Danio rerio: one gene and its partners. The protein of the gene in region 1 interacts with the protein of each later gene in a biochemical or structural test. Links are inferred from orthologs where the notes say so. Each region holds a gene or a part of one and is shown in the gene's direction. Other genes may lie near its edges. The genes, in order: atf3, jund and jun.

Region 1 (4,332 bases):
GTTTTATTGGTGATTGCACCAGGACGGTGAGGAGAGATTACTGGAAATTTCCAGAACACATAGGAAAGAGTGTGGACTGGGCTGTGTAATAATGAACAGCTACGGCAAGAAAGCTGTGCTTCACATTGAAAAGAGGAATGCAGACACTGCTGACGACCCACTCCCTTAAAACATCACCAAATCACTGCGTTAAATATTGAATTGAAAGGAAAGTGAAATAGAAAAACATGAGAAAGATAACAAGCCTATCACTAATTTTACTATATATTTATTAAGCAAACTTTTATTTTATAGTGTTTTGTTACATATTAGATGTACCAAAACTAATTAAGAAAAAAACTTACTCATATCCACCAACTTATTAGTTTAGACAGACAGACAGACAGACAGACAGACAGACAGACAGACAGACAGACAGACAGACAGACAGACAGACAGACAGACAGACAGACAGACAGACAGACAGACAGACAGACAGACAGACAGACAGACAGACAGACAGATAGATAGATAGATAGATAGATAGATAGATAATATTTATAGATAGATTTGTTTTAGTGTTCTTTTTAGACAGAATATGCCTAAAAATAAATTAAATGCATAATTATTTGCAAATAAAATGAACCTTAAATTAATTTTACTCAGTACTTGATATAATGTATAATTAAAAGTAACAAGGATGCTCAAATAAAGTGTAATAAATCGAATTAAACTTTTAAAGTTGAATACACTCAAATATTCAACCCTCTAAAAACTGAAAACCTCTAAATGTCATGTTACAATATTACATAACAATAATTAAATTATTATTAAATGATAAAATCCTAAATTCAGTCAGAAACAAACCAACTAAATTCAAACGCCATAAAAGATATTCAAAGCTGTTTTTTCCCTGAGCCAGTGGACATTTAAAACCAAATTTAAAGCTTTTAAAAAAACAGCCATATACACACTGACCTTGGCTTCATCTCTCCATCTCTTCATAAAAATACTAATAAAAAAAAGACATAAACAAGAAAACATAGGCTAAGTGTTTTTAACTTAACAGACCAAGAGGGATTTTATATGCTCTCTTTCAAACCAAGCAGACAGTCTGTCAGTCAGTCAGTCAAACTCTCTCTCTTTCTCATATCTCTTTTTTCAAAACTATTCGGCACATGACATTAGAGCATACCAGAGATGGCCTGTCATTACACGAGTATATGTCTTTATTTGCTCATTAGGTTAACATGCCAGCTCGTCAGCTTCACTATTGTGAGGGAGGGCGGGAGTTTGCCCAGTTATGGTGCGCGGCGGAGAGGGTTGCCTGATTGCATCATCGCGAAAGGACAGCGCCGCTGATGCTATAAATAGGGTGACGTCACTCGCCCCGCCCCTAGTAGTAGTTCACGTCCTCCAGCCATAAAAAGGGGTGATGCAACGAGCCGGCGACAACTGTAACTTTAGCAGCTGAGCGCGAGAACAGTCCGGCATCAGGAGAGCATCACAAACACACGCGCCTACATTTATTTACACACAACCAGGTAAGAGACGGCATTGTAGATTTCCTATTCATCGCTATTCTGGAACACGCTGTGGGAAAACGTCTATGGTGTGCTTGGTTTGGGCTACTAAAGGGAGATTTTTGCGTTTATGGGTCAAGCGATTGTATTTAGGTTTGAGTTAACGAACTCTTTTTTAACGAACTTTTATTTAGCTATAATGTATGTGCATTACTGTTTTTTTGCGTTAATATTTGTTCGATATTTATTAAAATTGGATTAAAACTGATTGATTTAAGTTCTCCTGTTTTCAAATTGTTTAACCGACAATGTTACGTCAGTAAGTTTACTTCATCGACAATGTGTAACACGAATACAACTCATGAAATAGTTAAAGATTATGATTTCATATAGCCTACTCTGTATTGAAAACCTGTCACTTAAATGTTAAAATATTAGGACTAATAAGGTTCTTAATCAATATTTGATGGTTTAGATTATTCTGTTTGCGAGTTGTTACTGTAGGCTATAATGTATTTGTACAGTAGTACACATACATTAGCAAAACGTTTGTTGAAATGAATGTTTATGACAAAAAAAAGCGATAGCATACTGTATAAAGAGAGCAAAACGTCTATAATACGTCATTGTAAAAGCAAAATATTGACAGCTGTGGTAGCCAGAACCTATGAAAACCCCTATAAATACTGTAATAATGTAACGAGTAAGATTGCACTTTAATAATTGTAAGTTGTACAGTTTCTATCTATAATTGAATGGTAACGTTAATGTTTATTTACATTATTTATTCCTTTAAAAAGGATTAAAACCGATTGATACGAATACAACTCATTAAATAGTTAAAGATTATAACTTTACTATTTTACACTGTACTACAAACCTGTCAGTCAAATGTTTAAAATATTATTATTAATATGAAATTGTTCATTAATATTTGATGGGTTTAGATTATTCTGTTAGCTAGTCGTTACTTTATGTATTCCTGTCTAGTCATACACATAAAATAACAAAAAAGTGTGTTAAAATGAGTGTTTATGACAAAAAAAGCGATATACTGTGTAAAGAGAGTAAAACATCTATAATACGTCACTGTAAAAAAATATATATATATTGACAGCTGTGGAAGCTGGGAGCTTTTAAATTACGGTTGTCATTGTAAGATTGATTGAGAATGACATGTGGTAAAAATTGTTAGCCAAATTACTTTCTGCTCATGATATCTAGCCTTTTATTAGCCAGTTGTGTCTGTATAATATAATATAATATAATATAATATAATATAATATAATATAATATAATATAATATAATATAATATAAAAACTTTAAAAACATAAACCATAAACGTAACATAACAAAATTTAACAACACAAGAACTTGTGACTACAATATTCTCCCTTAATCAAAACTTTATCACTTTAAAATCTCTTATTACTTAAAATCACTTATCACTTTAAAATGCATATCATTTAATGAATTTAATATTATATTAATCACCTTGTTAAATGTAATATTTATATAAATATCATAAATGACAATAATATTTAACAAGGAATATATATTTTAATTACAATAACTGTATAACTATTGTTTATATAGTTTATTATTATTAACAAATTATAACTGATGGTATATAATTATAACATTATGCAATTAAACACTTTTATTTCTAAAATACAATATTTAATGATCATTTTTAAATGTTGTTTTTGTTACAATTTAATTAATGGGTCTTACTCTATAAATCTGATGTTCTTAATCATTTTCTAACTATAACACAGTTATTTCAGTAGTTTTATAGAGAAAGGTGTAACATTTTTACTTGTTTATTTATTTATCTATCTTACCATTTTCCTCGTTAACATCATGATTTAACTGTTGTTTTGTATTTTTTTAGATTTCGGCATGATGCTTCAGCACCCTGGTTTGGGTCCGTCAGAGATCAGTGCATCAGCTTTGGTTCCCTGTCTCTCTCCGCCCGGCTCCCTCACGCTGGACGACTTCACAAACTTCACTCCATTAGTGAAAGAGGAGCTGCGCTACGCCATCCAGAACAAACGCATGTCCAACGGCATGAGCACCCTGACCACTGACAGAGCCTGCATGAACACTGAGAGACCCACCGAACTACCTGGGATGAAGCGAGAGGTAAGACCCACTCATTTACTGGCACAAATGTTTTTTTTTTTTTTAAGTGTAATTTCTCATATTTCACATTGGTTATATTGAGTAACGTGGACGTAGAAAAGCCATGCTTGCACAATTCACTTGTTCATCCACTTGTGGGCATTTTAGGTAGTTTGGCTTTCCCAAATTGTTAGATGTTGTTATTTCAGGCTGTCCCAGAGGAGAACGACCGAAGGAAAAGAAGAAGGGAAAGAAACAAAATTGCAGCAGCAAAATGTCGGAACAAGAAAAAGGAGAAAACCGATAATTTACAAAAGGTATTACTTGTTATTTAGCATTTGATTAAAAAACGTAACATTTATATGAACATATATTATATCTGTTATTTTTTATTATTGATCTTTTTTGCTATTTTTAACTGTATTTGATTACATTATATCTATTACATCTACAGTTGAAGTCAGAATTATTAGGCCCCTTTAATTAATTAATGTTTTTTTAATTTTACAAATGATGTTTAACAGAGCAAGGAAATTTTTACTGTATGTCTGATAGTATTTTTTCTTCTGGAAAAAGTCTTATTTGTTTTATTTTGAGTAGAATAAAAGCATTTTTAATTTTTAAAAAAAACATTTTTAAGGTCAAAATTATTAGCCCCTTTAAGCTATATTTTTTACAGAACAAACCATCATTATACAATAACTT
Region 2 (2,971 bases), on another chromosome or scaffold:
CACTCATACTTTTGAAAACACTATTGGTTGGGTAATTTATGTGTAACTTATCTTTATTTATATAGGATTTGGTTATGGGTAAAACAAAGACCATGTGGGTCAGGTAGTTGAAATGAGGTAGGGTACAAATGATTAATTCGTTATGAATTATTAATTCACCACCACCTACGACAATGATGCCATCATCCATCGCGATGTTTCACATTAGACATTTTACGATGCCAAATTGGTTGACATCGCCCAACCCTAGTTCAAAGAAGTAGTTTAGTAAAGGTTCAGTCTCGATTTTCAGTAAAAAAAAAAATAGTTTTTTTTTTGGGGGGTTTAGGGAAGGGGGTGGGCGGGTCAATCGGTGCTTTTGAAAACACTTTTGGTTGGGTTTAGGGAAGGGGGTGGGCGGGTCAATCGGTGCTTTTGAAAACACTGTTGGTTGGGTTTAGGGAAGGGGGTGGGCGGGTCAATCGGTGCTTTTGAAAACACTGTTGGTTGGGTGGTTGGTTGGTTATTAAACTTTCTTTTACCAAAAAAGTAAATAAAATCCAACATGTTTTAGAATTTTTTTCTATCAATACACATTTTAATGAATGTTACAACCGTTCCTATGATCGGGGTCATTTACAACATTTGACTTTGTCTGTTCACGTTTAAGCTCTGCATATAATATCATATGAACACATATTATAGCAATGTGGGTGGGTGTCAGATTGATGTGGGTTTATCATATTAAAATTTTGGGTTTCCACAAAAAAATTGAAGGAAATGCAAAAAATGTCCCCACTCTCCCCTAACATGAAAACAGATACTGGTACTGGTACATTAAATGTCAAAACCACCTGCATATAGAAGCACCATGAACATCATTATCTTTTCATCTTTATAGTAGAAAAAGACTTTTCAAAGTACTTATTTGAATTAAAAGATGTTCTTTTGTGGCATTACTGTGATAACCTATTTTAGGCTGTTCCTGTCACCTTTGTTTTTAAGCGTGTGGATTATTCCATTAGATAAAACCCATCACGGAACACTCGATCAAAGCATCCAAAGACCTTCAACATGTTCAGAAACGAGGGAACATTTTCTCCCGCAGCGCCTGCTTTTTATTCCTCCACCCTCGCGCGTTTTACGTCCGCTATGACATCAACCCACAATGCACCGCACTGTTTGCCGTTTACTCCCCGTCTCCACGGCGACACGGGCGAACGCGGCCCCTTATGCAAATCAAACCGGAAGAAAACGTCATCTTTGGCCAATCTCAGCGCTCTGAAGTGACATAATGGAATTTTTAGGGATAGAAAACTTGCAAATGCGTACTGACGCCCCGTGGATAACACATCTCTCTCGCGCTCCGGAGAAAACAACACCATAAAAAACAACGACGCCATAAATCGCAAGATATCAAAACTAATCTAGGTCATTTAAATAAGAATAGTTTTGTGTTTTCGTCGCGATGGGTCGCTCGGAGAGCTCGACGCTACACGGCAGGAGAGTGTAGGATGGGAACACGTCTGCTTCGCATAAACAAGGATATACGCGGAATACTGAGAACAATTATGATGAAGAAAGATATGAGCTTGAACCTGGACGACCAGAACAGCTCGAGTCTGAAGCCGGATCTGAGGGATGCTGAGGGAATACTCAACTCCCCGGATCTGGGGCTCCTTAAGCTGGCTTCACCAGAGCTGGAGCGGCTGATTATTCAGTCCAACGGGATGGTCACCACCACACCGACCTCCCAGTTCATCTACCCGAAGTCGGTAAGCGACGAACAGGAGTTCGCGGAGGGTTTCGTCAAAGCGCTGGAGGATCTCCACAAGCAGAACCAGCTGAACGGCGGACCGTGCGTTCCCCCGACGCTCAACAGACTCGCTAACAGCAGCACCAGCCTCGCCTTAAACGCGGATCTGCCCGTGTATACGAACTTGAGCACGTACGGGAGCACCACGGTGAACTATTCCACAGACACCATCCCGTTCCCACCGCCGCCGCCCGCGCACCCGATGTCCGCGCAGCCGCAGCCGCTGAAGGACGAGCCGCAGACGGTACCAGACATGCAGAGCTTCGGCGACAGCCCGCCGCTCTCCCCCATCGACATGGACACGCAGGAGCGCATCAAAGCCGAGAGGAAGAAGCTCCGGAACCGCATCGCCGCCTCCAAATGCCGCAAGCGGAAACTGGAGCGGATTTCCCGCCTGGAGGACAAAGTGAAGTCCCTGAAGAGCCAGAACACGGAGCTCGCGTCCACCGCCAGCGTGCTGAGGGAGCAGGTGGCGCAGCTGAAGCAGAGAGTCATGAACCACGTCAATAACGGCTGCCAGCTCCTGCCGAACACCGTGCAGGCGTACTAACACTCACCAGAACTCCTTGATCTGTCAGTGTTTGGGTGGTTGACAAACTTTAAGGTTTGGGGTTTGGATACATTCACATTTCCACAGCGCGCGAGGAGTTAAAGGTCCCCGTGAAGTGCTTTGAAGTGTGCGTTTTTTATACGATGTTTGACGCGAAACATGAAGAAAGAGGAACCAAGAGTAGCTCCTCCCCTTTATGAAACAGCCAATAGCGTTTTGAAGCGACTGAAGGTGGCGGGGCTTGCCAGATACTAGAGAGTATTTGATTGGTCGGAAGATTTGTTGAGAAACTGAATTTTGAGGTGACGTGAATAAAACCGTTGCTCCATTTTGGTGACCAACTACAAGCTTTATATTCGGTTTTATAGCTCCTAAACGCGAATTTGGTGTCCACAAGCTTGTATATCATAAAAACGAACTCTACTGTTAAAAAAGAGCATAGAATCACCAAGAGGCGACACTCTAAAGCAATTTGGGAAACAGCCACTAGATGGCGCGGCGGCCATTTTGGAAGGAAAACTTCAATAGAACAACAACATAATCTTAAGTCTGTAAAATAAACTATTAAAAGTGCTGATAATCGTGATAGTAAGTGTTATATTGTCGTCTTTCAGGTTGTATCTCAG
Region 3 (3,906 bases), about 24 Mb from region 1:
AGTAACACAAAAAAACTGTCTTCTCTTTACTTTGACCTATATGCTATAAAACAGTAGAATCAACCATATTTTAATGTACTCATAACAAAAACTAATTAATAAAATAAACAATAATAAAAACGACCATTCTTGCAAATGTCCATCTCAACATTACCTGTATATTTATCTTACTAATGTTGTTATAAATACAAATAAACTAGCTATTGTGTCTTTACATACGTTTAAGCAACGTCAGTAAAAATCTCAGAAAGTAAACTGAAACGTCACTTGTCAGCTGTCACGCTATATTCGATCAGTTTGTGGTTGTGGTTGACGCAGTGACGTTTAACAGGGTTGTTTGCACTTTTGAGAGGATCTCTAGGGACTGTCACGGATACGGCGGCTGGACTTTGTGGCACGCTGTCACTCCACAATAAGAAACGCCCCCATTTTTAGACCATTGGCTGACGGAGCAAATGCACTTTGGCATAAAAAAGCAGACTATAGCCCTGTTTCTTCGTGCCAGATTAAATTATGTATGCCTGTATAACACTGAGGTTTTTAAACTAGGGTTCGGGGACCCCCAGGGGGCCAACAAGGGAGTGCTGGAAGTGAAGAAGAGTAAAATTAGCAAATACTAATTAATTCATAATATATTTCAACGACTGATTAAAAAAAAATACTTTTAATCAGCTAATCTAACATTATATTCAAACAAAATGAGTAACATCAAGTTATGCTTATTTAATTTATTATTTCAGAAGGCATTTCTTCTATTTTTTTTTCGTTTTAAATCTCCCTCAACATTTTATTGTAAGGTTGGAAATTAGTTTCACTGACTCCAAACTGTATTTCTAATATATATTTTTTACCTTACTGATGTATATGCAATACATTAAACTGGATCCAGAGAGTGTTTGGAACTTGCTGTTGTTAAAGAATGGCCGCGTCTTGCGAAACTCGCGCAAGAATTGGTCAACTCTCAAACATACAGCGGCACACATTTATTCTGCCTCTTCTTCTCAAACTTATAGTAAAGTTTAAGTTCTAAAAGTGGCGCGTTGTACATTACTCTGCTTCTTTGTATCCCGCCACGGTCTAAAACAGCTAAGCGGGTAACCAGATATTCAAAAACAATACGTAATCCCACAATGCACTGCTTTACAGCATTACCTCATCCCATCAGGCACCGCGAGTAGAATCTTCTGGGTGGTCGTCTAGGCAACGCGCCTTATCTGAAATTGTGACACGCCCAGTAAAACGCCTCCAGCCAATGAGAGGCTGCGCGCATTACATCATTTCTATTTTTAGTGGGGCAGCGGTAGCAGATAAGGTTTGCCTCCACGCTGGAGAAGCTCAGAGTATACAGACCTCGCCACAGTGAAACACCTCACTCAAACCAACATAAATAAGCCTTCGGCTAAGCACTGTTTATCTGCTGGTGTCTGAGAAGCGCGACAGCGGCGGAGGAAGAACTTTCTATCCGCGGAAGGCAGGAGGAGACGAGCCCGTGACACTGGCGATAACTTTACGCAGTAAGTTTCTCGCGGGACGGGGAGTTGAGGAACTTTTCCAATCCTCTCGCTTTTGTTCCAAACACCGCAGCGCTCGTTACTGAACGCGGACAGTGCTTAACAGCGCCTAAAAGACTGCTTCTGAACTAAAAGTTTCGCTTTGCCTTCTATGTCTACCAAGATGGAAACTACTTTCTACGATGACTCTCTAAACAGCGCTTTCTCTCAGCATGACAGCGCCACTTTTGGATACAACCACAAGGCTCTGAAACACAACATGACGCTCAATCTGTCCGACCCCGCGGGGAACCTAAAGCCCCACCTGAGGGCCAAAGCCAGCGATATCCTCACTTCTCCCGACGTGGGACTTCTCAAACTGGCATCACCGGAGCTGGAGAGGCTCATCATCCAGTCTAGCAACGGCATGATCACCACGACGCCAACTCCGACCCAGTTTCTGTGTCCCAAGAACGTGACGGATGAGCAGGAGGGGTTCGCGGAGGGCTTTGTGAGGGCACTGGCTGAGCTGCACCACCAGCACATGCCCAACGTCACCTCGGCTCCCCAAACTACTATCAACAGCAGCATGGCACCGGTCTCGTCCATAGCGGGCGGTGCGGTCTACAGCTCAGCCATGCGCGCTGATCCGCCGGTTTACGCGGATCTGAACACGTTCAACCCTGCTATCAGCAGCAGCTCGGCCAATCCAGCCGCGATGAGCTTCCCGAGCGCACCACCGCAGCTGCCCGTCCAGCACCCGCGCCTCCAGGCCCTGAAAGAGGAGCCCCAAACGGTGCCCGAGATGCCCGGCGAGACCCCACCGCTCTCTCCTATCGACATGGAGAGCCAGGAGCGGATTAAAGCCGAGAGGAAGCGCATGAGAAACAGAATCGCCGCGTCCAAATGCCGGAAGAGGAAACTGGAGAGGATCTCCCGGCTGGAGGACAAAGTCAAGACCCTGAAGTCGCAAAACTCGGAGCTCGCGTCCACCGCCAACATGCTGCGCGAGCAAGTGGCACAGCTCAAGCAGAAAGTCATGAACCACGTCAACAGCGGCTGCCAGCTCATGTTGACACAACAGCTGCAAACCTTCTGAGGAGAGCCGAAGGACATTTTGAGTTCAGCCACATAAACAAACTTCAGGGGCTTGATGTCTGCGATCTGGCGCGACAGAGCCCGCGGGGACCGGGACCGTCCGGCCGGCCGCGTGCCGTTAAAGGATGATCCGACTGGACTTTTGAGGAGCGCAAAACTTCACTCGGTCCGACAGAGACGCAGAGCGCATGAGACTCACTCTGTTACATGTTTTACTTTCTGACGAAATCCTTGTTCACATCGACCAGGTTGTGCATGGACCTATACGCTTCAAAGGAGCACTCAGTATTATAGGAGTAAAACAGAGACGCGACTGCCGTACAGTAGGGATACTGGCTCACCAAGCAGGACGTTGTGTCTGCTAAACTTTTGATAAAAAAGCTGCCTGACTTCTGAGCTACATATTGTACTTTTTTTGTTGTTCTTAAATTGAACGGAAATCGACTTTTTTCCTTTTGAGTTAGTCCAACTTAAGCAGTTTCTTTTTCTAAAAAAAAAGTTCATTAATGAGGTTTCACTCATTGTTATTTGTAAATATGATCAACCAGGAGTACTTAAGTTTACCATTTGTAAGTAAAGTACAATAATTTTTTATGTTTGTTTTCTGAGCACCTCAGAAACTAATCAATATTTATGAACTGTAATAAAGTATGTCAAATGAAAAACAATGTCTCTGTTGTCTTAATGGAAATGACGCTTGTGTGTGTATGTGTGTGTGTGTTCAAATTGACAAACATGTAATAACATGTTTTGGAAGAGACTGGCTGTTTTGTAAAGTCCACAGACAGGACTGGGAAAAAAGGGTGTCAAAAAACATCCTTACAGTAATTAAAAATAATAACATTATAAATACATGCTTAATTGCTAAAGGTTAAATGCAAACTTAATATAACATTTTTACATCAAAATAAAGCAGACACATAATTTGATTGACTCTTTAAATCAGTAATGCTGAAATTATCAAGTAATTATCACACAGTCAAGTACTAAATAGACCAATGCCTTTAATCATGGCCTCATTTTTGTGTCAACTGAAACAAAAGTTTATTAAGGTTAGTGTTAGCCTGCAAATATGTTAAAAAAAATTGTAGAAGTTGAAGATGTATACAAGTTTTAACAATTTAACCAGCAACAATGACTTAATATTAAATTAATAAATGGTTGAAATTTAAAAATACTCCTTATAACAATAGTGTGTTATTTAGGCTATCAAATGTTAAAACTGATGAAAATGATTTACTAACATTTATAGGCAAATAATGCTGCAAATAATAAACACCCATTGTAAATTATAGTTCACCCCAAAATAAGAAATTGA

The links.
Region 2: the proteins of atf3 (region 1) and jund form a complex in vitro, tested with the Homo sapiens proteins (2 studies listed by BioGRID and IntAct, with this or other methods). The link is inferred for Danio rerio from reciprocal best matches to the Homo sapiens genes ATF3 and JUND.
Region 3: the proteins of atf3 (region 1) and jun form a complex in vitro, tested with the Homo sapiens proteins (2 studies listed by BioGRID and IntAct, with this or other methods). The link is inferred for Danio rerio from reciprocal best matches to the Homo sapiens genes ATF3 and JUN.

What each region holds. Positions count from the first base shown.
Region 1 is NC_133195.1:41,075,792-41,080,123, forward strand, and holds the start of atf3 (cyclic AMP-dependent transcription factor ATF-3), read left to right. Parts: upstream 1-1,432; 5' UTR 1,433-1,523; intron 1,524-3,397; 5' UTR 3,398-3,405; coding exon 3,406-3,648; intron 3,649-3,795; coding exon of another isoform or gene 3,796-3,836; coding exon 3,837-3,944; intron 3,945-4,332.
Region 2 is NC_133177.1:59,460,407-59,463,377, reverse strand, and holds jund (transcription factor JunD), read left to right. Parts: upstream 1-1,347; 5' UTR 1,348-1,493; coding exon 1,494-2,345; downstream 2,346-2,971. UniProt on the Homo sapiens protein: Transcription factor binding AP-1 sites.
Region 3 is NC_133195.1:16,778,482-16,782,387, forward strand, and holds jun (transcription factor Jun), read left to right. Parts: upstream 1-1,393; 5' UTR 1,394-1,662; coding exon 1,663-2,589; 3' UTR 2,590-3,253; downstream 3,254-3,906. UniProt on the Homo sapiens protein: Transcription factor that recognizes and binds to the AP-1 consensus motif 5'-TGA[GC]TCA-3'.